3 linked regions of the Ovis aries genome follow. The protein of the gene in region 1 interacts with the protein of each later gene in a pairwise test. Links are inferred from orthologs where the notes say so. Each region holds a gene or a part of one and is shown in the gene's direction. Other genes may lie near its edges.

The links.
Region 2: the proteins of SEPTIN1 (region 1) and AURKB interact in binary tests that used the Homo sapiens proteins (3 or more experiments, as listed by UniProt). The link is inferred for Ovis aries from reciprocal best matches to the Homo sapiens genes SEPTIN1 and AURKB.
Region 3: the proteins of SEPTIN1 (region 1) and AMOT interact in binary tests that used the Homo sapiens proteins (3 or more experiments, as listed by UniProt). The two-hybrid records come from large-scale screens. The link is inferred for Ovis aries from reciprocal best matches to the Homo sapiens genes SEPTIN1 and AMOT.

Annotation. Positions count from the first base shown.
Region 1 is NC_056077.1:27,079,974-27,090,764, reverse strand, and holds SEPTIN1 (septin-1), read left to right. Parts: upstream 1-4,167; 5' UTR 4,168-4,486; coding exon 4,487-4,496; intron 4,497-4,588; coding exon 4,589-4,675; intron 4,676-4,921; coding exon 4,922-5,045; intron 5,046-5,349; coding exon 5,350-5,484; intron 5,485-5,587; coding exon 5,588-5,705; intron 5,706-6,603; coding exon 6,604-6,705; intron 6,706-6,828; coding exon 6,829-6,928; intron 6,929-7,111; coding exon 7,112-7,277; intron 7,278-7,519; coding exon 7,520-7,610; intron 7,611-7,704; coding exon 7,705-7,791; 3' UTR 7,792-8,082; downstream 8,083-10,791. Other genes in the region: MYL11 (myosin regulatory light chain 11), read right to left, coding at 8,357-8,461, 8,551-8,599, 9,115-9,193, 9,309-9,413, 9,639-9,714, 9,967-10,002. UniProt on the Homo sapiens protein: Filament-forming cytoskeletal GTPase. May play a role in cytokinesis.
Region 2 is NC_056064.1:27,650,107-27,660,971, reverse strand, and holds AURKB (aurora kinase B), read left to right. Parts: upstream 1-3,577; 5' UTR 3,578-3,669; intron 3,670-3,916; 5' UTR 3,917-3,940; coding exon 3,941-3,988; exon of another isoform or gene 3,989-5,215; coding exon 5,216-5,318; exon of another isoform or gene 5,319-5,428; coding exon 5,429-5,483; exon of another isoform or gene 5,484-5,694; coding exon 5,695-5,886; exon of another isoform or gene 5,887-6,180; coding exon 6,181-6,319; coding exon of another isoform or gene 6,320-6,329; exon of another isoform or gene 6,330-6,427; coding exon 6,428-6,576; exon of another isoform or gene 6,577-7,248; coding exon 7,249-7,423; exon of another isoform or gene 7,424-7,581; coding exon 7,582-7,755; 3' UTR 7,756-7,889; downstream 7,890-10,865. UniProt on the Homo sapiens protein: Serine/threonine-protein kinase component of the chromosomal passenger complex (CPC), a complex that acts as a key regulator of mitosis.
Region 3 is NC_056080.1:121,853,778-121,864,026, forward strand, and holds part of AMOT (angiomotin), read left to right. Parts: exon of another isoform or gene 1-1,510; intron 1,511-4,826; coding exon 4,827-5,316; intron 5,317-9,954; coding exon 9,955-10,099; intron 10,100-10,249.

The DNA of each region.
Region 1 (10,791 bases):
CTGTTTATCTCTTTATTACACTACATTTTTAGCACCAGTGCTGTGTGTCACACTTGTGGCTGTCTCCGTCTCCCCAGAGGGCGGCAACCCTGACTGATTTCACTCCGTCTGGATTCTCAGCAACTGACCCAGAAGAGCAGTCGCTAGGTTGGAGCTATCGGCACTGTCACACCTCTCAGCTCACATCATAGCAAGAGCTAGCATTCAAGCTCATCTTTTATGTCAGGCGCTGCTAAGTTTTATGTGTATCAGACAGATAATCCTCATCATGGCCCTATGAGGTGAAATTATTAATGAATCATTTAACAGATACAGAAACGAAATCTCAGGAAAGTTAAAGTAAGATGGTCAGGATCACACAGCTCTTAATCCCTACATAAGCATATGAAACTTGGAACAACTTCTGTGAATTCAGTGTGGCAGGAGTATGCAATCCCATATGATAGATGAGGAAAGTAAGGGCCAGAGGGGTGGTTTTCCCAGGGTTACAGAAAGGGAGTACTAAAAATGAGGCTGAAGGACTTCCCTGGTGGTCCAGTGGTTTTGAATCTGCCTGCAAAAGACGTGTTTGATCCCTGGTCTGGGAAGATCCCACATGCTATGGGGCAGCTAAGCCCGTGTGCCACAACTACAGAGCTCAGGCACTACAACTGCTGAAGCCCACACTCTAGAGGCTGTGCTCAGCAACTAGAGTAGGCCCCACTCGCTGCAACTAGAGACAGCCTGCGTGCAGCAACTAAGACCCAGCACAGCCAAAAATTAATAATTTGAAATATACATATATATAATAAAAATGAGCTTGAAACAAGGATAAGATGTCAGCATGGATGGATCTTGAAAGTTAATGCTAACTGAATAAATTAATAAGTAGAAATATATATTAACACAGATAACTGTGGCTCAACTGGTAAATAATCAATCTGCAATGCGGGAGACCTGGGTTTGATTCCTGGGTTGGGAAGATGCCCTGGAGAAGGAAAAGGCTACCGACTCCAGTACTCTAGCTTGGAAAATTCCACGAACTGTATAGTCCATGGGGTTGCAAAGAGTCGGACACGACTGAATGTCTTTCACTACTACACTACTATTTGTGTAAACATTTGTGTACTATGTACATGTATTACATACATAGTGGAAATCGCTCAGTCATGTCCAACTCTTTGTGGCCCCATGGACTGTACCCTGCCAGGCTCCTCTGTCTATGGAATTCTGCAGACCAGGATACTGGAGTGGGTAGCTGTTCCCTTTTCCAGGGAATCTTCCCAACCCAGGGATTGAACCCAGGTCTCCTGCATTGCAGGCAGATTCTTTACCTTCCGAGCCACCAGGGAAGCCCATTACATACATAACATATATATAACACATATGCAAACACATACAACTATTTCTGTAAACATTTGTGTACCGTGAACTACACATTTTTCAAAATATATACGAACAAAAAAAAAACCATTACACATTGTGCACATTAGAGTGGTTGCCTTAGGATAAAGGAGGGTGCTATGGGGCTGTATTAACTCAGGCTGGCATAACAGAGAACCACAGACTAGAAGTCTTAAACAACAGATATATATTTTCTCATAATTCTGGAGATTGGAAGTCCAAGATCAAAATGCCAGCAGAGGCTGTTTCTGGTGAGGCCTCTTTTCTTGGGTTGCAGACAGCCACCTTCTCACTATGTCTTCACATGGCCTTTTCTCTGTGCATGCGCAGAGATTGCTGGTGTCTTTTCTTATAAGGACACCAGATCTATCCAATCAGGGCCCCACCCTCCTGACCTCATTTAACCTTAATTACCTCCTTAAAGGTCTTACTTTCGAATATAGTCATGGGGGTAAGGGCTCCAACACATGAAGGTGGGAGGGGGGACACAACAGGGGCTAAATGGGAAATGAAAAATAGAACCACAAGGAGTGAAGGACAGAAATGGGGTTGAAGCAATAGGCAGGATCCAGACCAAGCAATGGGCTTCCCTGGTGGGTCAGATGGTAAAGAATCTGCCTGCAATGCAGGAGACGTAGGTTCTATCCCTGGGTCGGGAAGATCTCCTGGAGAAGAGAATGGCTACCCACTCCAGTATTCTTGTCAGGAAGATCTCATGGACAGAGGAGCCTGGTGGGCTATAGCCCATGAAGTTGCAGAGTCAGACACGAATGAATGACTAACACACACACGCACACGCACACACACACATAGACCAAACAGTGCTTTATAGGTCATATTAAGGTTCAGAGAGATCATTCAGTTTATAAGTTCTAAAGTTGGGGTGTGTGTGTGTGTGTGTGTGTGTGTGTGTGTGTGTGTGTGCGCGCGCGTGCGCGTGCACATGCACGCCAAGCAGGAGATGCAGGTTCGATCCCTGGGTCAGGACGATCTCCTGGAGAAGGAAATGGCAACCCACTCCAGTATTCTTACCTGGCCTGGACAGAGGAGCCTGGTGGGCTACAGTCATGGAGTTGCAAACAAGTCAGGCACAACTTAGCAACTAAACAACAACAACAGGTGTACATATATATTAATATATATATGTATATATGGTATGTTGTTTACATAAATGATTAGCTCCAAAGCCTGTGTCATCCAAAATCACTGATTCCTGATAAAAAGTCTAAGTGTGTGCGTTTCATCTTACTATGAAAAAAATGGAGTTCAGAGAGGGCAAATGACTTGCCCAAGATCACACAGCAAGTGGTAGAACTGAGGTCTGGGAAGTTCTTTCTGACTCCAAAGACAAGTTCCTTTTACACATTCTGTAGCCTCCCTGCCTTTTCCCTAACTAATTTCAATCACTCACTCTTTCATGCATTCATTCATCTGGTATATTATTTATTGGCACCACGAAGGCCCTGTGCAAGACACCAGGGATGTAAACATTAGGAAGACATAGTTCCTGCCCTCAGAAAGCTCAGCCAGGAGTAGAAGAGACAGCCAGGTAAGCAAAGGTGGGCATTGGAGGGGCTATGAAAGGTGCTGGCGAGTCCAGAGGACGGAAAATGACTCTTCCTTTTGTGGGTGGGGAAGATTTCATAAAGGAGGAAGAACCCTTTGAATCAAACTCTTGAAAGACAGAGTTCACCTGGTGCAGAAGAAGGAAAAGTCCAATATAGACAGAGCCAAGGGTGCTACCCTGGTGACTCAGTGGTAAAGAATCCACCTGTCAGTGCAGGAGACATGGGTTCCATCCCTGATCTGGGAAGATCCCATATGCCAAGGAGTAACTAAGCCTGTGCACCACTACTGAGACTGCTCTAGAGCCCAGGAGCTGCAACTCCTGAAGCCCTTGCGCCTACAGCCTGTGCTTTGCATCAAGAGGAGCCATCGCAATGAGAAGCCTGTACGTCCCAACTAGAGAGAAGCCCTTGCAGCAATTAAGACCCAGCACAGGCAAAAATAAACAAAATCGTAGACAGAGCCAAGGATGTGGGCACTTGCCAAGGGCGAATCAGAGGAGGTGATGAGGTCAGATGCAGGAGGCTTTGGCCAGGACTCTCAGACTTGATTAAGATCACCGGGAAGTCCGTGAAGGGTTTTGAGCAGAGGAGTGCCTTCGCTAGGATTCTGAAGGCAGACTCTCTGGCAGTAAAATCCAAAGACCTGAAGTCCTTTTTTAAGAATCCAGTGCATGAGCTGGGGAGGAAAATAGATAGTCCCTCCTACCCTCAATCTTATTGCTTTTGGTCCACTCAGACCCTTGGAAATTGTTTAAAATTTTATTATTTTTTAATTAGAAGATTATTGTTTTACAATGGTGTGTTGGTTTCTGCCATACCACAGCATGAATCAGTCATAAGTATATATATATATCCCCTCTCTTTTGAGCCTTCTCCCTACCCCACCCCCATCCTACCCCTCGAGGTCATCACAGAGCACCAGGCTGAAACTGTTTTAAACTGTCTTTATCCAAGCCTTCACCTCACTTGCTAGAGAGACCAACCCACTTCCTTCCTCTCTGCTTAAACCCTACCTTCCATCAGGGTGATGGGGCCACAGCGGGGCTTGGAATAAACGTGTAGAAAAAACAGAGGGATTGAGGCTTCCTATCAGGGTGATGGGCAAAAGGACCCAAGAATCGAGAACCAGCTGTTCTCGATCTTGGTTTTCCCCACTCTCTGGGCCAGTTGGAGCATCTCAGATCCTATACTGCCCGCCCCCTTGTTTGCCGCCCTCAACTTCCTGCCCCACCAGAGGAAGTGGGGAGAGCTATCAGGTGCAGCAACAGCTATCGGGGCCATGGTGAGTCCTTACGCCCAGGAATCCAGGCATCTCTCCGTCCCCAGACCCCAGGGTAGCCAGGTCCAGGTCCACCCACAGTAGGCTGACTTCTCCTAGCCTCTGAGATCAGGTCATACTGGGGGACCCTGCCTGCCACCCCCAGCAGCCTCATATCGTCCACCCTCACCAACAGGACAAGGAGTATGTGGGGTTTGCCGCCCTCCCCAACCAGCTGCATCGCAAGTCTGTCAAGAAGGGTTTTGACTTCACACTCATGGTGGCAGGTCTGAGGGTTTTGGAGAGGGGCCTGGTAGGGGGTCCTCAAGAGACCTTGGCTGTCCCCTCACCTGACCAGCTGGGCTTGACCTGTCCACAGGGGAGTCAGGCCTGGGAAAATCTACCCTCATCAACAGCCTATTTCTCACCAACCTCTATGAGGATCGGCAAATACCAGAAGCCAGTGGTAAGATGCCCCTCTCCTCACCACGCTGCCCACGCCCTCTGACCCCTCTCCTCCCAGACTGCACACTCTTCCTTTCCTTCTGGGTCTCCCATGACATTCTGGGGAACTCAGGCAGCTCACTGCTTTTCTCTGAGACTCAGTCTCCTCCCCTGAAAAATGGGTGGGGGGCAACTGTGAGTCTGAGAAAGGAAATTAGTCCTGCTTCAGACCCCTCGCCAGCTCCCTGACCTCTCCCCATCCTCATAGCTCGCTTGACGCAAACCCTGACCATCGAGCGCCGGGGCGTGGAGATCGAGGAGGGGGGTATTAAGGTGAAGCTGACTGTGGTGGACACGCCTGGCTTTGGGGACTCAGTGGACTGTTCAGACTGGTGAGGAATGGGGGAGAGCCCAGGGCTCAGCTTCCCAGTGTGGCTACTCTGAGATCGAGGGGTCGGATTCAGGGCTGGTCTGCCCTGCCCTACTCACGTCCCTGCAACAGCAGGAGCTGTTTCTGGTGGTCTTGGGGCCCAAAACGCCTTGTGTTTCCCAACATCTCACCTGCCAGTTCCCTCTGACATCTTTGGTTGAAGCCAAAGACCCTGCTTCTCACCCCCACAGTCCTGGCTAGCTTTGCCCCCTGCCCTCCACTGCGGTCCAGATCTCTGACTGCCGGCACTCTCCCTGCACCCCCAGCTGGCTGCCTGTGGTGCGCTTCATCGAGGAGCAGTTTGAGCAGTATCTTCGGGATGAGAGTGGCCTGAACCGGAAGAACATCCAGGATTCCCGTGTCCACTGCTGCCTCTACTTCATCTCACCCTTTGGCCGGGGGTCTGTGGGACACCCTAGGGGGTTGGGACATTTGGGGAGGGCGGGGGGCGGGGGGTGGGTCTCTGTGCCCTGAAACTGAGCCCTGATGAATTTCTGGGTGCAGGCTCCGTCCCCTAGATGTGGCCTTCCTCCGGGCGGTGCACGAGAAGGTCAACATCATCCCGGTCATTGGCAAAGCAGATGCCCTGATGCCAAAGGAAACACAGGCCCTCAAACAGAAGGTATGTGTGGTGGCTTCTGACCTTTGGTCTGCACATGAAGCCAAGTCATGACAAAAGCTGAACTCAGCTTTGACTTCTTTGATCTTGGGGTAGCCTTTTCGGAGCGTGATGTGTCAGGCTAGACTGGAAGAAAGTTTTTGAGAAAGGTGGGTCATAAGCTGCCTCAGGAAGCCACATCTCTGGAGGCTCAGAATAGAATCCCTGGGCTGGATGCTTGGCTAAGATCTGTCTGAGGGCAGGAGTATGGACATAACGACCCATGTTATCCGTCTGGCCCCAGGATGCTCACCATGCCCCCATTTCCCCACTTCTTCAGCGCCCTCTCCCACTGTTTCCACTTATGTCTCTCTCTCCTGGTCTTTTGGTGTCTGCTCACCTTCAAAACTTCCCAAACATCAGTCTTTTCCCTCCTAGGGTAAGGTCTCAGTTTTTCATCCTCTATGTCTCTTTCATGGAGAAGGCAATGGCACCCCACTCCAGTACTCTTGCCTGGAAAATCCCATGGATGGAGGAGCCTGGTAGGCTGCAGTCCATGGGGTCGTAAGAGTCGGACACGACTGAGCGACTTCACTTTCACTTTTCACTTTCATGCATTGGAGAAGGAAATGGCAACCCACTCCAGTGTTCTTGCCTAGAGAATCCCAGGGATGGAGGAGCCTGGTGGGCTGCCGTCTATGGGGTTGCACACGACTGAAGCGACTTAGCAGCAGCAGCATGTCTCTTTCATCGTCTGAGATTTTGTTTTCAGTCTTCCTGGATGCCCATCTCTCACCATCTTTGTTTTTCACGCCTTCCTCTCTGTCTCTTTCATCCTGTGTCTGTATCTAGATTTCACTGTCTCTGGTGGCCTTTGTGGCTCACAGCCTCTGTGTTTCTGTCTGCATTTGTCTCCTCCAAGATCCGGGAACAGTTGAAGGAGGAAGAGATCAATATTTACCAGTTCCCCGAATGTGACTCTGATGAGGATGAAGACTTCAAGAGGCAGGATGCGGAGATGAAGGTACAGAGGCAAAACAGGACAAGACTGAGAAGCCAGGGGAGGCGGATGTGGAGGTGGGAGCTGAGAAAGGTTTCTGTCCACGGGAAGGGGAAAGGATGGAGATCGCTGACTCCTCCGCTCTAGGAAAGCATCCCTTTTGCCGTCGTCGGTTCCTGCGAAGTAGTGCGGGATGGCGGGCCCCGACCGGTGAGAGGACGCCACTACTCCTGGGGCACTGTAGAGGGTAAGTTAAGGCCGGGTACGCGTCCTGAGGCCAGCAGGGAGCCCAGGCCGCCTCCCAGCTAACCGTACCCAACATGTGAAGTTGGGGAAAGTTCTGGTCCCAGGGGTCCTAGGAGCCCCAAGAGAGGTCCTTGGGCAGCCCACCCGATCTAAGTTCCCTGACGCTCGCGGGTCCGCCCCCCAGTGGAGAATCCACATCACTGCGATTTCCTGAACCTGCGACGGATGCTCGTGCAGACACACCTGCAGGACCTGAAGGAGGTGACGCACGACCTGCTCTACGAGGGCTACCGGGCCCGCTGCCTACAGAGCCTGGCCCGGCCTGGGGCGCGGGATCGAGCCAGCCGTAGGTGAGAGCCAGCGCGGAGAGTTAGGTGCTTCCAAGGCCCCACCCTCCCTCTCCATGACCTCGACTTCACCTTCTAGACCTCTCTCCCAGGGCCTTTCTTTCCCCATCCCCTTTGCTTACCTCCCTAACCTAAGGATATGGCTCCGCATCTTAGACTCCAAACTAACTCCAGATCCTGTCTTGCAGCGATGACTCAACCAAGGCCCTCGCCTTTGATTCCTTGCCTTCTCTCCCATCCCCTAGTAAGCTTTCCCGCCAAAGCGCCACAGAGATCCCGCTGCCCATGCTGCCTCTGGCAGACACGGAGAAGTTGATTCGCGAGAAAGACGAAGAGGTGAGATTTCCCCCAGACCAAGACTCCCAAGTCCTCTTTGGAGCCCCTCTCTGGCCTCGTCCGGACCCAATGCCTGCAATCTTGCCCCGCACAGCTGCGCCGCATGCAAGAGATGTTGGAGAAGATGCAGGCCCAGATGCAGCTGAGCCAGGCTCAAGGCGAGCAGTCCGACGCTCTCTGAGGCCCCCATCGGGGCTTTCTCTACCTCGCCTCCGCCTTCGGTTCGTCTCTTGTCCAATCCCTGAGCCCCAGGCTGCCAGGCGCCTAATCCCGGAGCCCCAGCCTGTAAGGCCCGCCCTTCAAAGGGGCGGGTTCTCAGGTTCTCCCAATCCTGGAATTTGTAGCCCCGCCTTTGGCTCCGCCCGAGCTCACTTCTGGAGCGCGACCTCCTCTTCCAACCCTGAACACCCGCATCCCCTCCCCACTTCTCCCTATCCGTGACTTCAATAAAAACTGAGTTTCTCTGAGGGCACGCAAGTCTTCTCTTTCCCAGCGGGAATAAGTGCGAGCTTAGCGGGTGGAACCGCTCCACCCAGGCCTCCGGGCCACCATTTATTAATTCATTTGCTGGGCACTCCTTTCGTGCCAGCCGGTGTGTCTGCCCAGCCTCCCACCTGAATCCCATTCACACAAACGCACTGAAGGCGCCGCGGATAAGAAACGAGACCCTTTCAATTTATTAGTCTGGGTGGGGAGATCGGACTGGCAGGAAGGCTTTGACTAGCAGAGGCCGAAAAGGGTCCGCTCTACTCCTGGTCCTTGGCGTCGCCATGCGTGATGACGTAGCAGATGTTCTTGTAATCTACGTTGCCGCCCACGTCGGGGGGGAAGGCAGCCCACATGTTCCTGATCTGTGGAAAACAGGCAGAGTATCACCAACTGGTTCCTTACGTTCCCCTTCCCCCATCCTTCCGCTTCTCCAGACCCCTCCTCCACTCACCTCTTCCTGGGAGAAGCGGTCACACTGCGTGGTCAGCAGCTCCTCCAGGCTGGAGAGAGGTGATTGATATACGGGAGGTTTGAGACTGGACTTCGTGATTCCTTTCCACGCCCTCCCACCTCATCCCCCTTGCCATTCCCAGTCTCATCTTGAAAACCAGGGTCACTCTGGATTCCTCATTGGTCTCCCAAACACTCTGACCTCCCGTTTTGCCCTTCTTCCTGTGTTCCATCGCCCATTTCCACAGTCCTGATTTTTCCCTTATCCCTGTGCTGTGCGGTGCTTAGTCGCTAAGTCGTGTCCGACTCTTTAAGACCGCATGGACTGTAGCCTGCCAGATTCCTCTGAAGAGTTTCTCAAGGGATTCTCCAGGCAAGAATACTGGAATGGGTTACTATGCCCTCCTCCAGGGGTTCTTCCCAACCCAGGGATCAAACCCAGGTCTCCTGCATTGCGCAGGCAGATTCTTTACTGTCTGAGCCACCCTTATCACTGGCAGTGCCTGTTATTGGTGGGAATTGAAAGAGGCTTTCTGTGTGGGAGCAGCTGGAGCGTGTCACTTACAATTGCTTCTTGATGGTGCCTTTTCCCTCAGGGTCTAAGACCTTGAAGGCTCCAGTGATCACATCCTCAGGGTCGGCACCTAGAGGGGGTCAGAGGGCACATGTAGCTGAAAGGTTGCTAAAGGGTCAGTCCCTGAAAGTTCTGAGGAGAGGCAGCTGAGGTGTTGGACCAAGGACACATCATACTTCATTCACCTTTGAGCTTCTCCCCAAACATGGTCAGGAAGACAGTGAAGTTGATGGGCCCACTGGCTTCCTTCATCATGGCGTCTAGCTCCTCATTCTTCACATTGAGACGCCCTGGAACAGGGTTGGGAAAGCAGGGGCTGGAGTGGGGTCTTGCAGCCAGAGAATAATGCTTCCTATAAATTCAGATCATCCCATCCATTTTTATTTTTTTATCCCATCCAATTTTATCCGGGATAGACTGAGTCCCAAGGTGGCCTGGCAGGACTGGGACCCACAGCTGCTGAACTCCCAGGACTCTGCAGCCTTGAATCTTTACAGGTAGAGGAGGCAGCTCACCCATGGCTGCAAAGGTGTCCCGCAGGTCTTCCTTGTCAATAATGCCATCCCGGTTCTGGTCAATTACTGTGAAGGCCTGTGGAGGGCAGAGGCAAGGAGAGATTAGGTCTCCCATGGCCAAGTTTCAGCATCCTTACTCCAGGCAGATCAGATTCTGAGATTCTGGTTGCCAGCCAGAGGTCCTCTTACACTCCAAGCAGGGAGGGGAGTAAGGAATCTAAGCCCTTCTCCTTCCCCCAAACAGGTGCACATTCCAGGGAGGGGTGGGGGGAGGGGCAGCAAGGGGTGCCTTTGGTTAGCCTTCAGTCTCCCTTCTCCCCACACTTACCTCCTTGAACTCCTGGATTTGGGTCTGATCAAACATGGAGAAGACATTGGAGCTTCCGCCCTCTGCCGCTGCCCTTCTCTTGGCCTTCTTGGGTGCCTGAAGGGTGAGGGTTGGGCAGAGGGGTTCGTGGACTCATCCTTACTCCTCTGGAGGTGGTGGATTCTTTAAGTTCATTCTTCTAAAGCAACTCTTCTGGCTCTAGGCTTCCCCTTCCTTACAACTCTTTGCTGAGGGGACTTGTTTCAGTTGGATTGTCAAATTTCTATCTGAAGCCCTCAAGTACCCATCCTTCCACCCTGCCCAACAAGGGAAATGTTTCTTGCCTTCTGAGTGCCCTGAGCCTGGCTCCTCTGAGTCCTAGACTTGCTGTGTGTCCATGATCCACTTATTCACCTTGTCTGAACCTCTACCTTCTCATTTATAAAATGGGAATGGGAATCCTGGCCTGGCTGGTTCCAGGGGATATAGGAAGGTGAAGGAGTGTGCTTTCAGAGGGACTGGGCTCCTGAGAGTGGAGTGTCTGGGCAGATTATCCTTGGTTGGGTCCTTTAGGGCATCCTTCTATATATTCCCCATTAACGATACCAAGAAAGGGAAGATTCATCTTTTCTCCTCTTGCCAGACTTGGAACCAGCTCCTTTCTTTCAATGGGTGAGGCTGCCCTGAAGTCTGAGAAATCTGATCTTGGGCTGGGGGATTCTCACTCACCATGTTTTAGGTCTCCTGGGATCAAGGCAGCAGCTCTGGCTGGAAAGGAGCAGAGAGTCCGTCTGGAGCACTCCCTCTGGAGTTATATAGTCTTGCCCCAGGGAGCCCTTAACATAC
Region 2 (10,865 bases), on another chromosome or scaffold:
AGCTGGTTTTAGAAAAGGCAGAGGAACCAGAGATCAAATTGCCAACATCCGCTGGATCATCAAAAAAGCAAGAGGGTTCCAGAAAAACATGTATTTCTGCTTTATTGGCTACGCCAAAGCCTTTGACTGTGTGGATCACAACCAACTGTGGAAAATTCTGAAAGAGATGGGAGTACCAGACCACCTGACCTGCCTCTTAAGAACCGTGTATGCAGGTCAGGAAGCAACAGTTAGAACTGGACATGGACCAACAGACTGGTTCCAATTAGGAAAAGGAGTACGTCAAGTCTGTATATTGTCACCCTGCTTATTTAACTTCAATGCAGAGTACATCATGAGAAATGCTGGGCTGGAAGAAGCACAAGCTGGAATCAAGATTGCTGGGAGAATTATCAATAATGTCAGATACGCAGATGACACCACCCTTATGGCAGAAAGTGAAGAGGAACTCAAAAGCCTCTTGATGAAAGTGAAAGAGGAGAGTGAAAAAGTTGGCTTAAAGCTCAACATTCAGAAAACGAAGATCATGGCAGCTGGTCCCATCACTTCATGGGAAATAGATGGGAAACAGTGGAAACAGTGTCAGACTTTATTTTGGGGGGCTCCAAAATCACTGCAGATGGTGATTGCAGCCATGACATTAAAAGACGCTTACTCCTTGGAAGGAAAGTTATGACCAACCTAGATAGCATATTGAAAAGCAGAGACATTACTTTGCCAACAAAGGTCCATCTAGTCAAGGTTATGGTTTTTCCAGTGGTCGTGTATGGATGTGAGAGTTGGACAGTGAAGAAAGCTGAGCGCTGAAGAATTGATGCTTTTGAACTGTGGTGTTGGAGAAGACTCCTGAGACTCCCTTGGACTGCAAGGAGATCCAACCAATCCATTCTAAAGGAGATCAGTCTTGGGTATTCATTGGAAGGACTGATGCTGAAGCTGAAACTCCCAATACTTTGGCCACCTCATGCGAAGAGTTGACTCATTGGAAAAGACCCTGATGCTGGGAGGAACTGGGGGCAGGAGGAGAAGGGGACGACAGAGGATGAGATGGCTGGATGGCATCACCAACTCGATGGACATGAGTTTGGGTGAACTCTGGGAATTGGTGATGGACAGGGAGGCCTGGCGTGCTGCAATGCATGGGGTCGCAAAGAGTCGGACACGACTGAGCGACTGAACTGAACTGAACTGCACTGGAGGCAGATTGGTGGTACTCACTGTGGTCCACAGACTGGTGCCACTTCGTGAAATATTACTTTCAGGTTCAGGATGAGTAGAGAATTTGAGAGTTAGGTATTTTTAAAACTGTTACAGCATTTGTCAGAGTACTTTTATAAATACTGTGCTATACTGTGCGTAGTCGATCAGTCGTATCCAACTCTTTGCGACCCCATGGACTGTAGCCTGCAGAGCTCTTCTGTCTATGGGGGATTCTGCAGGCAAGAATACTGAAGTGGATTGCCATTATAAATACTAGTTACAACCAAAAAATATGTCTTCTTGTAATTTTTATATTTTTTATACTTTTTCAAGGAATTTATTTTTAATGTAAGTTGTAAAAGCATCAATTTGTGATAGATTGCAAATAATTAAAAATGGTTCTTCCCTACTGATCATTTGCGAAGCACTGGGGTAAATAATGGAGATTCTGTTCACTAACTTGAACAGGCAGCTGATGGTTGCCTAGCTGCCAGAGCAGATAGGTTTTGTTTTGCTTCGTGTTTTATGAATAACACAAATCTCAATTTTGTGGTGGCCCATCAACTATTTCTGAAAGGCCAGATGTCTTCTGATGTAATGTGCAGGGGGAATTTAAAGACTCCAATGGACAGAGAAACTGTATGGGGATCCATCAGGGATATCCCACCCATGCACAAGGTCCCTGACAGGCTCTAGAAAAGTCTTTCACTAGGTTATGAGGGATAAAGTATACTGCAAGTGATAGGATTTTTCTAAAGCTCTTTACTAGCTAGTTACTCTATATGTGGCACTAAAAAACTCTAAGGCACTGAAATTGAAATGGGATCTCTGATTCTGGGAAGTGGTGTTGGGCTGACCCTGAGTGAAAACAGCATCACATTTCCAGAAGCAAAATGCTTTTTTCACTGGTGGCCATATTCATCAAATCTCTAGAGACACATCATGCACAGATTTACAACTTTAAAAAAATCATGGGCTCCCAACAATAAACCTGTAAACAACTGTGGCACCCTGCAGTTTCTACCGCTGCAGGTAGCTGTGGCTACCTGAGGCTACCACTGTGGCCCCTAGCTGCTCTAACTGTAGCGGCTGGAAGACAAAGTTACTTTGTCAGCTGCCTTTGCAGTAGTCATGTGATAGGGAAGGCCCACACAGCAGGAGACGGGAGTTGGACTCCCTGTCCCGGGGATCCCCTGCAGCAGGACATGGCAACCCACTCCAGTATTCTTTCCTGGGAAATCCCATGAACAGAGGAGCCTGTGGGCTATGGCCCATCGGGTCACCAAGAGTTGGGCCCCAACGTGTGGCTTCTGGGGATCTTAGTTTCCCCACCAGGGTTTAACCCTGGCCCACAGCAGTGAGAGCATCGAGTCCTAACCACTGGACCACCAAGGAATTCCTATATGAGGACTTTTAGAAGCCTTCTGCTTTTTCTGTTAAAAGAAACAGAGACAGTTGGCATTCACCTTGAAGTCGGAAGGGGAATGTTAAGAGAATCACAGAAGAGGTCAATGCAGACCTCTTACATTGTTCAGTTCCTGAGCCAGCTACCTACTTTCTGATTTATTGTTGTGGAAGAGAAAATAGATGTCTGTTGTGTGTGCCATTGGTAACTGAGTTTCCTGTTACTTGCAGCCAAAAGCGTTGTGAACTGATGTAGAAACTCATTTGGATTTATTTAATTTACATTGGGTTGAATCATGTGAAATTAGTGTTTTCTGTGGGTCAGATGATTGTCAGTATCGCATCATTCAACCCAAATAACTGTTAACTCTCTAGATCTGTAGATGCGTATCGGTTAGTATGCTTATGACAGCAAATACCAAAACTCGTAACTTAGTGAATTAGGGAAGGAGATGGATTGGCTCATGGAAGAAAACCTAGTTGCTTTTTTTTTCTCTCTCTCTCTTTTCGCTCAGTCATGTCCGACTCTTTGCGACCCCATGGACTGTAGCCTGCCAGGCTCCTCTGTCCATGGGATTTCCCAGAAAAGAATACTGGAGTGGGTTGCCGTGTCCTACTCCAGGGGATCGCCCCGACAGGGAGTCGAGCTCGCGTCTCCTGCTTTGGCAGGAGGTTTCTTCATCGCTGAGCTACCACAGAAGTCCAGTTCATACATATACACAAGAATAAATTCCAGGTTATATTGATGACTTAAATTTTAAAAACAAAACACCAGTAAGACTATTCGAGGCTTGAGGAAAACTTTTCCCAAGTTAAAACCCTGGTTGCCCCGGCTCTCATTCCGCCTTTTCCATTGGGCCTCTGGAGCTACGTCATGGGATAATTAGCCAATGAGAATTGGGCATGGGCGGCAGGCTCAGCCAATGGGACCCGGGCGGGAGATTTGAAAGGACCTCGGCGGGGGTGAGGAGGCGCGGCCGGACGGATTCAGTTGTTGCCAGCGGTCAAGGCACCACGGGTTTCTTTCGGGATTCTTGCTCCGGGAGAGGCCAGGTGATCCGGCAGGTTGGTTGCTCTAGGGTGGAGAAAGGGTCCTGGAAGGGAGTGAGGCCGGTAGCAGGGTGGGGGCGGAGAGGCGAGTGCGGGGATGCGCTCTGATGAAGCCAGCTTTTGGACTTGCTCCCTTTCACCAGCAACTCGCCCCCCCCCCCACCCCAGGCAAACACTTCCGGCTAGATCGATCCGACCCCTCACTCTCTCTCCTTTTTTTTTGTTTTTGCTTCTCACGGCTCTATTTCTCTTCTCTGCCCAGTTCCTTCCCCCTTTCCCTCTACGGATGGCCCAGAAGGAGAACGCCTACCCCTGGCCCTATGGCCGGCAGACGGTAAGGGCTTTCTCACTTCCCCTCTCCCCATCAGCATGGCGACTTCCTGCTTGCAGATTCGAGATCCTGCAGAGGGCGATCCTCTTAGCACTTTTCTTCTGGCTTTGCACCAGCGCATGGGCCCCAGTCAGGTCATTTGTAGCCTCATCCTATCTGGTGCTGCCAGTTTGAATTTGACCAGCCTGTGAGGACCTCTGCAGAGCTGAGCCTACTTGTCACATACAAATGGCGTCTGGGACTGAGCAGGCAGGGTCTAGCCTATTAGGCCATGAATCTCAACTGTTGTCCTGAAAAAATAGGCTAGGCAGGAAATAGATATAAGCTATTTAGATGAGTTTATAACTTTAAAAGGTCCAAGAGAAGTCTTACTTAAGAATTTGGATTTTAATGACCGGTGTGACATATGCGTCTAAAAAGCTTTATTTTCCAGTTGTCCTAACACCTTTCATTGAAGAATCTACCCTCTGATTTGAAATGCTAGCGTTATTGTATATATTAAATTCCCATATATATGTGGATCTATTTCTGGACTCCATTTTGTTCAACTTGCTTATTTGTAAATCCTAAATTCGCTGTTTGTGAACAAGTCTGTAGGAGCACTGAGGCTCTCTCTTGGTTAAAGAAGAAAGAAGGGGCCCTACATGAGCTTTGTTCTCTGTTAGTGGGGCTTGAGTATCCTGGAGGGTCCCTCTATCCCCTTGTCCACCAGCTCCCTCCCCGGTGAAGCTCTGAATGGGGAGGCTGAATGAGATGACACTGTCATGTCTACACCAGTCACTCCCAGAAGAAAGTGGTGTGTTACTCAGAAGTTGACAGTGACAGTGCTCCAGGACAATTAGAATAGCCTTCACTTTCCCTAAAGCCTGTTGTTGCAAAGCGGTAAATACTGAGATTTGCTGAACACTCAAGGCCCCAAGGATCTTATCTGAGCCTTAACAGACCAAGCTTAGGGAACTGTGAGAATACCTCTGTTCTGAAGCTCCTTGAATTGTGGGTGTTCATTACCCCAGCCTCTACTGCCCTTTGGGGTAGGGGGCTAGGTAAATGAGTGGTGTTATGGACAAGACTGAGTAGCAAAATTGTGGCCTCATTGTTCCTCTTTGAACTGGGGATGGGGTGGGGTAGGTGGGTGGCTTTATAGCAAGCCCTGAAATGCTGCTTGTAGCGCATTCCAACCCGGTCACTGGGATAAAGGCACCCTCAGAGCTCCCCTCTGGTCCTTCTCAGGCTCAGCCTGGCCTGAACACCCTGCCCCAGAGAGTTCTCCGGAAGGAGGCTGTCATCCCATCGGCGCTTGTCCTCATGAGTCGCTCCAATGCCCAGCCCACAGGTAAACTAGCACAAAGGGAGGGGACTGACCTGAGGGAACTAGGGTCTGCAGAGGGTGGGTGGGGATGAAAATGTCAAAGGATGGCCTCAACTTCCCTGTTCTTTCCTTAGCTGCCCCTGGCCAGAAGGTGGTGGAGAACAGCAGTGGGACCCTCAACATCCCAAAGTAAGCTCCCCAAGCTTTGAGGTAGCAAGGGACGGGGTGGAATAAAGGCAGGAGGAGGAGGGATGCAGGTGAGAAAGCCTGATCCATCCTCAGCTCCCCTGGAAGAGAAGCAGGATTGCAGGCAGGAGGGGCAGAGGTCCAGAAAGAAGGCAAACACCTCAGAGGACCAACTAACCACTGCTCAGCTGCTCCACCACTGCTTCCCAAACAGGCGTTCCTTCACAATCGATGACTTTGAGATTGGGCGTCCTCTGGGCAAAGGCAAGTTTGGAAATGTGTACTTGGCTCGGGAGAAGAAAAGCCATTTCATCGTGGCACTCAAAGTCCTCTTCAAGTCTCAGATCGAGAAGGAGGGTGTGGAGCACCAGCTGCGTAGAGAGATCGAAATCCAAGCCCATCTCCAGTACGCTCAACGTCCCCTGAGCCAGAGCCCCTGCCGCCCCAACCCCACTCCTCCTCCAACCCCACCACATCTAGACTGTCTTCTCTGTAGCTGTGGCCACGCAGCCCCAATGAGCTCTCAATCCCAGCCAGAGCCTTGAATCCAGAAAATCACCTCCGGTCCCCAATTAGGACTGCCAACTGGCTTCCCCTACCTGGCCCAGACCTGACCCAGTTTGCCCCAATGCGACCTGTCATCTTTCCCATTTCCTTAGGCCAGAATGCAGCCTGATGCCTCCTCTGTCTCCTCTCCCAGACATCCCAACATCTTGCGTCTCTACAACTATTTCTATGACCGGCGAAGGATCTACTTGATTCTGGAGTATGCCCCCCAGGGGGAGCTCTACAAGGAGCTGCAGAAGAGCCGAACTTTTGATGAGCAGCGAACAGCCACGGTCGGGGCGGGTGGGCACCTGGGGCACTGGCAGGGGCCTGGAGGCTGGGGGATGCCATTTGCCGCCTGAGGTCAGTCCTCTTCTGACTGTCTGCCATTGGCCCCCCAGATCATGGAGGAGCTGGCAGATGCTCTGACGTACTGCCATGCAAAGAAGGTGATTCACAGAGACATCAAGCCAGAGAATCTGCTCTTGGGGCTCCGGGGTGAGCTGAAGATTGCTGACTTTGGCTGGTCGGTGCATGCCCCCTCCCTGAGGTATGGTGGGCCAGAAGGCCAGCCCTGGGTATGAAGCCATTCAAAATAAAACCACTTCAGATCTTGTTACCCAGAGACATTTTGGGTTGTTCTCATGTAAATATATAGACACAGCAATATCTTTACAAAAATAGGAGACTTTGGGAGTTCCCTGCTGGTCCAGTGGTTAGGACTCCAGCTTTCACTGCAGGGGGCCCAGGTTCAATCCCTGGTCGAGGGAACTAAGATCCTGCAAACCGTGCAGCGTGGCCAAAAACAAAAATAGGAGTCTCAGTTTTGTCACTCAGATTTCTCACTTGAAACAATGGGACCTTCTTGCCATATCACTGAGAATACTCCCACATCATTTTTAGTGGCTTCATAGTATTGCACAGTAGAAATGTAATGTGATTAAGCAACATGTGATTGATGAACATCTGAAATTCTTCCTATAATTCTAAGGTGAACGTTGCCCTCATATCTGATTTATTTTAAGGTACGGCCCTCAGTGTGGAAATGCAGAGTCAGTGTGCTAGCCCCACTCCTACCCCAAAGACCCCATCAGAGCCTGGTTGGAAGACCCCTGGCACATCCTGTGGTCGGTCTGGGCTCCCTGTCAGGCTGCAGGGAAAGGAGGGAAAGTCTGGATCTGAGATCCCTGCCCACTCCCCCTCTTCCCCCGCCCCACCCCAGGAGGAAGACAATGTGCGGCACTCTGGACTACCTGCCCCCAGAGATGATTGAGGGGCGCACGCACAATGAGAAGGTGGACCTGTGGTGCATCGGCGTGCTTTGCTACGAGCTGCTGGTGGGAAACCCGCCCTTCGAGAGTGCTTCCCACAATGAGACGTACCGGCGCATTGTCAAGGTGGGAGGCTGGCCCCCGGGGTCTGGCTGGAGTTTGTGCCAGCTCAGGGGCTGGGGCAGGGAGTGGGCACACTGTTGCTGTTGATGTTAAACCCTGCTAATAGAGTGGGAAGTGGAGGCAAAAGCAGCTAGGATGAAGCCTGTCTCTCCTTCTTGCAGGTGGACCTAAAGTTCCCTCCTTCTGTGCCCATGGGAGCCCAGGACCTCATCTCCAAGCTGCTCAAGCATAACCCCTCAGAACGCCTGCCGCTGGCCCAGGTCTCTGCCCACCCTTGGGTCCGAGCCCACTCTCGCAGGGTGCTGCCTCCCTCTGCCCCTCAGTCTGTCCCCTGAAATGTCCCTGTCCTTTTCTCAGTTGTGTCTGTGTCTGTATATGTGTAGCCAGGAGGAGGGGGGTCCCAAGTCTGTTTCTGCATCTGTCTTCTACCTCCTCTTTATTTAATAAAGGCTGAAGCTTTTTGTACTGATGAGTGTAGATGTTTACATGTGGAGACTGCTGTGAAGGAAGTCATCACCCATGGGGAGGAGGCGAGGGAGTTGCCCATGCTGGGCAGTGGGGTGGGCACTGCATCATCACCCCTGGGAACACCCCTCAGCACTGAGAGCAACCTCTCAGCTCTAACCTCATCTGGTCAGCTCCCAACCATCCTACTTCCACATCTTTCCTTTCCCCTGCTCTGGCTCCCAGGCCTGGGGATGCTGGGGACCTGGCTCTACTCTGCTATGCCTGCACATCAGCCATCACCAACCATCTCCACCCACCTTCTATTACTCCCTCTTAGTTGACCTCTAATCTTTCCCTTTCCTGGGTCAGTCTTGCTGACCTAGGAGCAATTAAAGTTGTCTTCTTGTTTTGTTTTTCTGCTCTGGTGAGGATTTAGCACAGGAGTAAATAGAAGCTGATGGTGTCTTGTTCCTGACCTATGGGAAACTTGTTCCCATAGTTTCACTGCTATGTATGATGCTTGCAATATGGTGCCTCCTATAGGTTTTGTTCTTTTGTTTTGGCCACCCAGAGCAGCATGCACGATCTTGAGTTTCCCTGACCAGGGACAAACCCATTCCCCTTGCAGTGGAAGCTTGGAGTCCTAACCACTGGACTGTCAGGGAAATCTCTTGCTATAAGTTCTTGATACATGTCTTTTATTAGGTTAAGGAAGGCCTGGGCTCTTCCTAGTTCATTAAGGGTTGGGTGTTTTTTGAAGCATGAATAGGTGTTGAGTTTCACCTAGTGCTTTTTCTGCATGTTTATTTTTTGTACTCTTAAGCCATGTGGTGTAGAACATCAATAAAGTTTCTTATTTTTATTTCATCTCAGATACTCGGGCTATATTCAATTCCTAGGGCTACTGTAACAAATTACCACAAACCTGGGTGGTTTTAAACAGCAGAAATGGATTCTCTGACAGTTCTGGAGGCCAGAAGTCCATGATCAAGGTGTCAGTAGCACCACCTTCCCATATATGCCTCTAGGGGAAAATCCTTCCTTGCCTTTTCCATCTTCATGTGACTCCAGGCACTTCATGGCTTGTGGCTACATCACTCCAAGCTCTGCTTCTGTCTTCACACAGCCTTCCTTTCTTTGCCTTTCTCTCCTCTGTCTTAAAAGAACACTAGCAATTTGATTTATGGCTCACCTAGATAATCCAGGATAATGTTATTCACAATCTGTAATTATATCTGCAAAGACCCTTTTTCCAAAAAACACTGCATTCATTGCTTCCAGAGGTTAAGACACTGACATATCTTTTAGGGGGCTACCATGCAACCCACTACATATGCGCACAGATTAAAATAATTGAAGGACAGTATAGGGCTTAAGAAAACGAAAAACCAACAGTCTTCCCATTTCTCTCTCCCCAGAGACAAATCCTTTTACAGTTTTGCTTTGTTTTTGGTATTTACTTTGTATCTCCAAATCACATGCTTCTGTCACTACCTCTTTACATTTTCAGTTTTAGGCTTTATCTATCATTTTCCTGATACAAAATGTAAGTATTTCATTCTTTCACTCCACTGCCACCAGAAACAAGGGCGTTTTCTGTCCCTACATCCTTCTGGTGTAGTTATAATTTTGGTTAAGATTTATTCATCTGACAATAGTTACTGAGTGCTCTCTGCAGCCCAGGTACTGTTCTAGAGGCTGAGGGGTGAATAAACGAGAAAAAAAAATCCTCAACTCAGGAAGCTTGCAAAAAGTGGTTGCAGTTGTAAACAGATTGTAAGGGGAGGCCTCACTAAAAAGATGTTTGAAAAACTACTTGAAGGAGGAAAAAGGTGAACATTTTTCTTTGTAGTTGTTCAGTCACTAAGTCATGTCTGACTCTTTGCAACCCCAGTAAAGAGTTTACCTGCAGCACACCAGGTTCCTCTGTCCTCCACTATCTCCCAGTTTGCTCAGATTCATGTCCACTGAATCCCTGATGCTATCTATCTCATCCTCTGCTACCCTCTTTTTGCTTCAGTCTTCCCCAGCATCAGAGTCTTACATCAGGTGGCCAAAGTATTGGAGCTTCAGCTTCAGCATCAGTCCTTCCAATGAATATTCAGGTCTGAATATTCCTTTAGGATTGTTTGGTTTGATCTTGCGGCCCAAGGGACTCAAAGAGCCTTCCCCAGCACCACAATTCAAAAGCATCAGTTCTTTGGCACTCAGCCTTCTTTATGGTCCAACTCACATCTGTGCATTACTACTGGAAAAACCATAGCTTTGACTATACGGACCTTTAATATACTTTGTGGAATCGGCCTCAAAAAAAGGGGTGGACCGAGGGGATGACGTCCCGGGGCAAACGCCCTCTGAGCGGCCCTCAGGCCTCCGACTGTCCGAGGAGGAAGAGGCAGAGAACTTTTGGGGCGCGAGCTGCCACCCATTTGCTCTTACATTTGCAAGAGCAAATGTAAATCCTTGAGGCGGCAGCATGTCTGTCTTGTCACAGGAACAGTGAGAAGACCAGTGCCTCTATGGCAGGACCAGTGAGAAGAGAAGGAAGAGAAGAGATCAGAATGGTACCAGGGCTCTGACCTTAAGGGCTATTAACTAATTGAATGTTCTACCTAGTGGCAAAATCACACACCATCCTCCAAGAGGAGACACTCAAAACCTGGTGGAGGGGGCAGGAGACAAGAGAACAGAGGAGCAAATGAGAATTCTGGTTCCATCCTAATCAACTAAGGTGCGATTCAATCCCGACGGTCCAAGCAGGATATGCTACTTTCATCCCAAGAATCTCTTTTAGGAAACCCAATTCTGGTTCCCCAATTCTGGTTCGTTCTCCAGAAGCGGTTGCTAAGCAACAAATGTGGGCGGAAAGAGCCTAGCCCCGCCCCTGGAGGACTCAGACGTTTCAGGATCTTCAAGATCTGCCTTTTCAACTTTTCGAGAGGGCGGGGCAACGAGCGCAGCTGTTACCTCCTTCTCTCCGCCCTGCTGGCTCTCACGT
Region 3 (10,249 bases), on another chromosome or scaffold:
GTTTTTTTTTTTTTCTCCATACTGATTAAACCGCCAGAGAAACTTAGTTGCATATATTTAACCGGAAGAGATTTGTATTTTCTCCTCCCTCCTATGTTATCTATGGATCTCTTGCTCTGCTCCCCAAAGCAGTAGAGCCCACGCTGATTATCTTCTCTTGAGCAGTATTTTAACACACAGGTTTGAGGAAATAGTTTTGTGTTTTTTCTCTATGGGAGAGAAATGTGTTTTTTTTTTTTTTCCCCTCTATGGGAGAGAAATAGGGTGCTTGATATGCTCAATGAATGTGCCTGCATGCTCAGTTGTGTCCGACTCTTTGCAATTCCATGGACTGTAGCCCGCCAGACTCCTCTGTCCATGGAATTCTCCAGGCAAGAATACTGGGGGGTTGCCATTCCCTTCTCCAGAGGATCCCTCTTACCCAGGGATTGAACCTACACCTCCTGCATTGCAGGCAGATTCCTTACCACTGAGTTACCTGGAAAGCCCATGCTCAATGAAAAGTCAAGCCTAAAACAGTCCTAATCAGAAGATGCTCTTTGTGAGTTTTGGGTCTGCAGCAGACAAACTGGCAATAAAATTTTTGCAGAGCCTGAGGTGAGGGTGTGGCACATGTTGACGAATGCCTGCCAAGGGGAGGACCTTGAATGGCTTTCCATAAATGTACCGTTTTAGGTGAAGGCATGTTTTTCCTCCTTTATTTCCTTTAAACCAACTAGCTAGACAGTTTGTGAGTACCCTTCCAAGTAACTGCTGCTAGTACCAAACAATTAGAAGACAAAATACTTAGTTCTTAATCCACAAATTACAGATCAAGATTCAGAGCAAGCTCTTTGAGCAAATTGTTGTCCAAAAAAACCTTTGTTGACCTTCAGAAGTGAAGTGAAGACGCTCCGTTGTGTCTGACTCTTTGCGACCCCATGGACTGTAGCCCACCAGGCTTCTCCATCCATGGGATTTTCCAGGCAAGAGTACTGGAGTGGGTTGCCATTTTCTTTTTCAGAGGTGCTGTGAAATGCTAGAGATTTGCTGTTAAGATGAACACAGTGTTATAAACAGTCTTTTTTATTACTTCATTTTCCCTATGCCCTCCTCCCCACTTAAAAAATAAATATCCTGAATGCCCCGAACTCCAGATGGGAAACAAGGCCAGGCCATCTGAAGAATTAAAAGTTTGTTGAATCTTTGTCTAAGTGCTGAGCCTTTTCTGCAGCCGGGGTTTATGCATTTATCAACTGCTTTTAAAAATCAAATCCTTTCTGTTTGTAAAGCAGCCACCTCCTTTCAGTTGTTGACATCGTGCCCAGATCTGAGGTTTCTTGAAATCCTTGTTTAGTGGAATCTAAGGGTGACCTAACTCTGTAGCTTAGAGCGGAGTTGGTTGTGCAAGAGAAACAATCAGGAATTTGCAGCTCTCTCCAGGCTTCAGAGAGTGACCATCACAGAGCCTGGGAAAGGCAGTTTCTGTGGGGAGAATAAATTGGGTTCCAGGCTGTTGGCACCTGATCTGGTGAGAGGGTGTATGGGGGAGCATGCATACGTGTAGGCTAGGACTGTCTTGCGTGCATTGGGGGCTGGGGTGGGGGGTTGGGGTGACATGTGTCTGGGAAGAGTAGGGGCTCCAGTCAGTGAGGGGGCAGGGTATAAGTTGCAGTGTCAACTCGATTGCTTTCCGTTTGTGTCCTCACAAGCTGTCTCTGGGTGGGACTTTTCCCTGGCTTCGGGGAAATGCTGATTTTGGTCCCTGGCTTCTGTCCCGCATGTCTGTCAGGTCTTCTTTTCCACAGAGAACCGGAGGCCCAGGTTGTCTTAGGAAGGAGAAGGACAAAGGGAGGGAAGAGGCAGGGAGGCAGGTCAGGGCTTCCATGGGATCATGTGATTCTGTTGTCTGCACGCGCCTTGTTGTTCCTGGTTAATATGTCAGTGGAAGGAGCTGGGGAGAGTGTCACTCACCCAGCTGACACCCTTATTACCATTATTACAATTACTCTATCTTGAGTGTAGGTTTGCTTCCTCTGACATTTCCCCCAGCTCTCTCCCACACCCGTCGTTCCTCAGTCCCCTTCTCTCAGGGGGGAATTCACACAAGCATTAATACTGTTCTGCTTTTTCATGGTGGGCGGATGCTGAGATCCAGATGGAGTTCGTTGGCTGGAGGGCTTTCTCTTCTTTTACGACTGCCCAAGCCTTGCTTCGTGTTTGCAAACCTGCCAGGGTCGGACTGCCTCAGTTTTCCCAACATCATGGTGCACGGAAATCTGCTTCCTTTTCCAGCCTGGGAAATGTGAAAGGCAGCTGCCGCTTCTCCATTTATCTCTAGGCACAGCCCACAGTCGTGGCCATGGCCACTGCCATTCTGGGCTTATCCAACTCTGGAGCCTCCTTCCAGGCACGTGTGGTCACCCCTTCCACAAGGCCCCTGCAAGGCCATGTTCTGTCCAGGGCATGGGGAGGCCTTTCGGTCTACAGGTGGGAGAGAGGTCAGTGGCTGGTCTGTTTGAGAGAGAGGTCTAGGTTGCTGGTAGGACCCAGGGGAGCTGAGGGGAGGAAGCCCAGTTCACAGCTGGGCATTCAGTCTTTAAAAGAGAACACCTCCCAGGCCTTGGGTTTACACATCCTGGCAATGAGGATGAACGTTAATATTGTCATTTTCCCCTTAAAATTTGAGGACTGGATTAGAGAACATGAAATTTCAGCCCCTCTTTTCTGCCTGAGACATAAGCCCTAACAGATCCCAGGATGCCATAGTTTAACTCGGGTTGGCCAAAAAGTTCATTCAGGCTTTTCTGTAAGATGTTTTGAAAAACTCAAATGAACTTTTTGGCCAACCCAATTTATAATAGCTCTTACTCAAAGTGGAAGGAGAGTACATAGTCCATTTAACCTCTGAGGAAACTAAAGATCCACAGTGTGAAAAATGGAGACAGACTCCCCCCACATAAGTTTATAAACAGCTCCCATGCTTCTGATTGCATAAGTGCTTTGAACTCTCAGACATAAGGGTTATGTAGGGTAGCAACTTTCCAGTCGTCATCATGAAAACCATGTAAATTCTTCTGTCCACAAGTAGTTTGCCCACTTCAGTATTCAGCAATTATTTATAGTGACAGATACATGAAATTGGAAGAATGTGGGTACACCAGAGCCACTGATGGGGCTGAGCAACAACCTTCAACTTGAATAGGTTTGAGGGCTCTGGTGAACATCTGGGTTATTGGGTATGTGTGAGCAAGTGTTTGGAATGGTTTTGTAGTGGTAAAAATCCGTCATAGTAAGGATCTCTTGTAGTGATAGATAAATAAACAGTAATGATAACTGGAGTTATGTGTGGGAGGGAATGTGCTTTAGCATCAGGAATGCCAGTTAAAAGTTAATTGCTCCTGATGATTTGTCCCAGTTTCGCCACAAATTTTATGCAATGTAGTGCAAAGATTAAGTGGATATCCCATAAGTAAAATCACTAACAGGGTCAACCATTCTCATTGGGAGGTAGATATGTGACTGTTTGTAATTCAACACTGAGAAGAGCCCAATATTTTAGTAATTCTTTTGTGACCTCGGGAGCAAAATAGGCTCATGCAGATGAAGTAACTTGAGCAAGGTTACACAGCTAGTAAGCAGTAGGAAAGGTCTCCAAACTCTGTTGGGATCCAAATCCTGTGCTCTTAGCCATCTGTCTTCCCTGGATTGAGAAATAACAACTGTAGGACAGGCATCCACTGGATGTGGGAGTATATTAGGTTAACTGGGCAGGGGCAGGGAGGTGAACATTTTGTGTGTGTGTTTGGTGTATACTGACATATTCTTCCTGGTTGTGGCAATGGTGGAAATAATCAATTTGCATACACTGTTTCCATTAATGGCTCATAGTCCAGTATTAGGTACCAAAATGGAAAAGTCACATTAAACCATGTGCCAAAGTTCTCTTTCTGGAACTTTCTATAAGTAATAGATTGGGAATCTGAACATCACTACAAATCAGTGCATTTTATTTAATAGTAGTGGAAAGAACCTGAAAATGGCATTTAGCTTCTTCTACCCTGGCACTGCTTCTAACTCATTCTATAATATTTGGCAGAATACTTCTCCTCTCTGGACCTCAGTTTCCCCCTCTGTCCACTGACAGACTTGGACTACATAATTTATTTAAGGCCTTTCCAGTCGTTACATTTTGTGATTCAGTACATCAAAATTGTATGATAGTGTTACTTATAATCCCTTCCAACTCTTGGAATTATTGCTGCTAAAAAACATCATTCAGTTATTAACAACTCTCATCAACAATAATTATTTGGTGTCTCTAATATAGTAAGTACCTGTATATCCTCAGGTAGTTTTTTCTGACTATATGAATTATCAAAGAGAGTTGCAGATAACAAGATGAGGGGTAGATTTGATGACGGTTTGCTCTTTCCTTCTGGGCAAGTGGAACGAACTTTCTGTGACTCTTTCTGTGTGCAGGGCCATATACAGGATGCCAGAAAAAGCTTAGTTTAAAATCATGAGGTGACAATTACGTTGTCAAAGGCGCATTTGAAATGCTTAGACTTGAGAAACAAGTGTATAAGGATGCATTACTTTGATTTTCACAAAGCAACCTTTGAGATCATCTGATCTGTCCTCCATAGGATCACACCTCTGTGGGTCAGGTATTGAGAGGAGGCCAGGTGTGGAAGGGACTGGAGAGGTCTTGGGAGAGACCTTGTAGTCCAACCCTGCCTGCTCCTCATTTTGCACCTGTTCTGGGGGCCCAGAAGCCTCCACATCTCCCTTTCTTGTGCCTTCAAGTGGGAGTTTAACCTGAGTACACCCTCCGTGTTTTCCAGGCCAACACAGGACATCTCATTGCCTTTGTCAGCCCGGAACTCTCAGCCTCACAGCCCTACTTCTTCCCTCACATCTGGGGGTTCCTTGCCCTTGCTGCAGTCTCCACCATCTACTAGATTGTCTCCTGCCCAACACCCCTTGGTCCCCAGCCAAGGAGACCACTCGGCTCACCTGCCTAGGCCACAGCAGCATTTCCTTCCTAACCAGGCTCACCAGGGGGATCATTACCGTCTCCCCCAGCCTGGCCTGAGTCAACAGCAGCCACAGTCACACCATCACCACCATCACCAGCAGCAGCAGCAGCCAGGAGAAGGCTATTCCGCTATGCCACGAGCTCAGCAGTCGTCTGCTTCATATCAGCCAATGCCAGCCGACCCTTTTGCCATTGTTTCCAGAGCCCAGCAGATGGTTGAGATTCTCTCAGATGAGAACCGGAACTTGCGGCAGGAGTTAGAAGGATGCTATGAGAAGGTGGCGAGACTGCAAAAGGTGAGACCTCCGTATGGGGCTATTTGAGTCTTTTTGAAATCTTATTTGTTTAATATTGATATAAAAGTGTCCACTTGTGGGTCCCTGTATGACATATGGGCGGGTCTTCAGGATTCTTATATCTGAAGGTTAGATGGAGCAAACTTTAGAAAAACCTTCTGCCTCTCTAGAAGTAACATTTCACAGAAACCATAGCCCCCAAGAAAGCTTAACTGAGTGTTTGAGAATTACAAAAGGCAGGGAAACTGCTTCAGAAGGTCAAGAACACTGGAGAGGGCTCTTTTGGAGAAGTACCTGCCAGCATAAAGACTTTTCCTTTTGATTGCATTTTTCCAAATACAAAGTACTGAATTTGAATCTTAACTATAAATCCATAGTTCCCAGAAAAATCTCATCATTGAAGTTAGATCCTGACCTGCCTTGTTGTGGAAAGGGCCTAGAGTACTTTTCCAAGTGGTAGTTTTCATTGTAACTTTTTCAATGCCCTTTACTTTCCCCCCTTCTTGTGTTGGTCCTTCCCTTAGCTCAAATGAAACATCTGCTCTCCTCTGGTGTGTGTGGGGAGCAGGAGGGGTTTAGCACACCACAGATGGGTGACATGTGACAGCCCGAGGCTAAGGAAGTAGCAAAAGAAGTGTATGTCCCAAGTTCACATTCTTCCCTGGGCCCCTCCTGAGTCTTTTGCAGCTGGGACTTTAGGTCTTGAGTGCCCTAAGCTAGGAACCTTAGCTCTTAGCTTCCTGTGGCTGGTGGTGAATAGGGTTCTGCCTTTGGCAGCCTCTTTGCAACTTCTGTCATTGTGGAGCTCCTTTGGTTTGATCTCCCAGACAATGCAGACTGCTCAGGGATGTGAGGATGAAGGTGGAGGAGGGAAGGGAGGTTGCCTGGTATTGTTCAGTAACTCTGTCCTCAGGAGACACCCAACAGTGGAAATTTCAGGGGCCTGAATGAAGCTAACACTGTGTAAACACCAGATCTGAGTCCTAAAGGAGAGGAGGGCTTATTATCAGCTAAGTATTTTTACGGAACAAAAAAAATGCCTTTACCGCGCCTAATGTTCCCAAGTCTGGATGGATGGGGGTTGTTGAGTGAGAAATGTTTCTTACTGGCTTTGCCCCCAATTTAAAATTTTCCCTCTTCTCTCATACCTGCCCCTGTCCCATCACATTGGTACTCACACACTATAAGCAGACTGGTCCAGTTCGGCTGATTAGGTTTAACAGTTGACAATGCTCCCTAAACTCTTATTTGTGGTGGCCCTGGCCCCATCTTTGATATAGTAAATAAAGGGTGAACCCAGATCTTCTACAGACTCTCTTTTCTAGAGGATAGTGATTTTTTTTTTTTTAATGAGGGGGAAGATGGGTGGCAGGGAGGTGGAGCAGAAGAGTCTGGGTTGTTTTGTTCTCCAATATTGGGAAAGATGCCTCAACCAAGTGCAACTGGGACAGCTTGAGTGCTGGGAGAAGTGAAAGCTGACCCAACACTGCAGTGGGTTAGAGGCACAGGTGGGTTAGAAGAGGACAAATGAGGGGAATAAGGTAGATGTCAGCTGGTGCTGGGAAAAATAAGAAGGCCTGAGGCTCATGAGGGGAATAAGTAGATAGAATCAACCTGGAAACCCACCACCATCCTCTCTCTCCCCTCACCTCCCACCACAGACCAAACCGATGGATATGCCCTTCTGTGTCTCCTTTTCCTGTTGACAGATGTACAACTTGCCCTTTTAGTGGGGGCAGTATCTACAAATGGTATTGGGAAAGGATTGGTACAATGTCTTGAAATAGTACTCTGAACAACTTGAGTAAAGGGGCTGCCTTCCATGAGGATGCGGAATAAAAGGAACCCTTATACACTGCCAGTAGGAAGGGAAGGTAAATTGATGTAGCCACTATGGAAAACAGTATGGAGGTTTCCCAAAAAACTAAAAATAGAACTATCATATGACTCAGCAGTTCCATTCCTGGATGTGTATCTGAAAAAACAAAACATTCAAGAAGATGCATGCACCCCAGTGTTCATAACAGCATTGTGTACGATAGCCAAGATATGGAAGCAACCTAAGTGTCCATCAACAGATAAATGAATAAAGAAGATGGAATACTGCTCAGGCATAAAGAGAATGAAATTCTGCCATTTGCAACAACATGGATGGACCTGGAGGGTATTATGAAAAGTGAAATAAGTCAGAAAAAAAATACTGAATGATATCACTTATATGAGGAATCAAAAAAATACATCAAACTAGTGAATATAACAAAAAAGAAGCAGACTCAGAGATACAGAGAACAAACTAGTGATAACCAGTGGGGAGAGGGAAAGAGGGAGGAGCAACATAGGGGGAGGGGAGTAAGAGGCACAAACTATTAGGTATAAAATAAGCTATAAGGATATATTACACATCGCCAGCTTCCCTGGTAGCTCAGCTTGTAAATAATCCACCTGCAATGCAGGAGACCTCATTCAATTCCTGGGTTGGGAAGATCACTGGAGAAGGGTTAGGCTACCCGCTCTAGTATTCTTGGGCTTCCCTGATGGCTCAGATGGTTAATAATCCACCTGCAGTGTGGGAGATCTGGGTTCGATCCCTGGGTTGGGAAGATTCCCTGGAGGAGGAAACGGCTACCCACTCCAGTATTCTGGCCTGGAGAATTCCATGGACTGTATAGTCCAGGGGGTCACAAAGAATCAGACTGGACTGAGCAACTTTCACTTCATGAGGAATATAGCCCATATTTTATATAAGTGGAGTATAACCTTTAAAAATAGGGAATCACTATATTGTACACCTATAACTTCTACAGTATTGTACACCAAATATACTTCCATAAAAACATAAACAAAGGGGACTGCCTTCCAGGTGTGGCACTCCGTGGGGCACTAGAAAACCTTGTACTCTGAAGACAGCCCAGAGCAGACCAGCACCGAGCCTGCTCTTTCAAATAGAAATGTTTATTTTCTCTACCAAGCACTTGAATTTCATGCAAAAGCTTTATTGGGCTCAGGCCTTGCAGATCTTGTCTCTAAATGCCATTCACCAGTTTTCACCTTCTGTGCTGCTATCTTGGTACCATCTGCAAGGAAAAAAGCATTCTCAAGTCTGCTCTTTTCTGTGATGTAAGCTTCATTTGTTTGCAGGCAGTCCCGCCTCAGGCATCATGCTGGAGCTGGGGCAGGTACAATCGGAGTTGTTTGGTAACCCCACCTTTCCCTGAGTCTCTCACTGGGCGGGGGGAGGGGTGCTAATATTTCTCCCCCTAAAGTAGCCTGAGCTTTGTTAAGGAGGATAGTGAAAAGCTGAGAAGGAATGCAGAATGGTTGCAGGAGTCAGATTTAACTTGAAAATTACTTAATAGGCAGTGGGGTTTACTTGTCTTATACAAATCATATGCAAATATCTCTGTGGTTGTGACATGTACAGTGAAGCTCTACTGGTTCCACAGAGACTCTAGAGTCAGATTTCTTATTTTCTTCCCAATTCGGGCTAATTCAGGGCGGGATCCTTTCTCTTTGAGGTTGTGTGTGTGTATACATTGTGTGTGTATGTGTGTGTTTACCTTTTACAAGATTTGCTGGAGTGTCATAAAACACAACTCCAATCATGAATTTCTGTTAAAAAATCTGTTACGGTGTCCCATTGACTATGGGATAAAGTCCAAATGCCTGGCATTAAAGCCCTTTTATGATCTGACTCCAATCTATCTTTGCAGCCAGATCTTACCAGCTTCTCCCTGTGTACCCCACAGTGTCCAGCCAAATTAGACTACTGGTCATTCTGGGAATGCATTCACTCACTTAGAATAGAATACCCTTCCCCTCACCTCTGCTCATTGAAATTTAACCCAGCTTTCAGGATCTGACTGTAAATACCACCTCCTCCCTGAAATCCTCCTCTCCCTTCACCCCCAAATAGGAACAACCTCTTTCTCCTCTACAATTTATAACACTACTCCAACTTTTCTTAATAACATATTTCTCCTGGTATTCTTTTACTTGATTAGATTGAAAGCTTCTTGAGGGCAGCTGTAATGTCCTTATTCATATTTACACACCCCACAGTGTTTTAAAGAGTTCCAGTAATTTTTGGCCCCTGGTAAATGTTTGTTAAATTGAACTGAACTAACTAATGAGGCTAAGTCTTAGGGTTTTTAGTTTTCATCTCCGTCTCTGCCTTCTAGTAAAAGGCCATCTCAGTCTTCTCTTTCCTAAAATGGGGGAGAGGTATCTTGTGTAGGCCAATATCAGCCCAGATCGAAATAAACATATAAAAACCCTTTGAATGCTTTGCAGTAACTATATACATTATTATTGTTTTCTAAATTAAGAAAGGAAAGGAAAATCATTTGTAACTATACTTATGAAATTTATCCTCTCCTACAACCTTCTCTGAAGACAGATAAACATATTTGTTTTTAACCTAAGGAAATCTTGGGGACTGGTGAGTTAATTACTGAGCTTGAGGTTGAACTTAGAAATTTTTTCAGGAAACTTTTCTTATCTGACTGTGTTATGATTGCCTCCTGGCCATCCATAAATCCCTGGGAGAAGTTGTCATTAAGGATTTGCATATATGTTTTCAGATCTTCTTCCCCCATCCACTTCCTACCATCATCACTGTCTTTCATTTTTGTTGTTCAGGTGGAGACAGAAATCCAGCGAGTCTCAGAGGCATATGAGAACCTTGTCAAGTCATCCTCCAAAAGAGAGGCCCTGGAGAAAGCTATGAGAAACAAGCTTGAGGGCGAGATTCGGAGAATGCATGACTTCAACAGGGATCTGAGAGGTGAGAGAATCACTGAAAGGCATCAGTCAAGAGGTTGAAGGGAACAACAAGGTCCTACTGTAAACAACAAGGTCCTACTGTATAGCACAGAGAATTATATTCAATATCCTATGATAGAAAGGGATGTCAGAGCCTACCAGTACCTCTAGC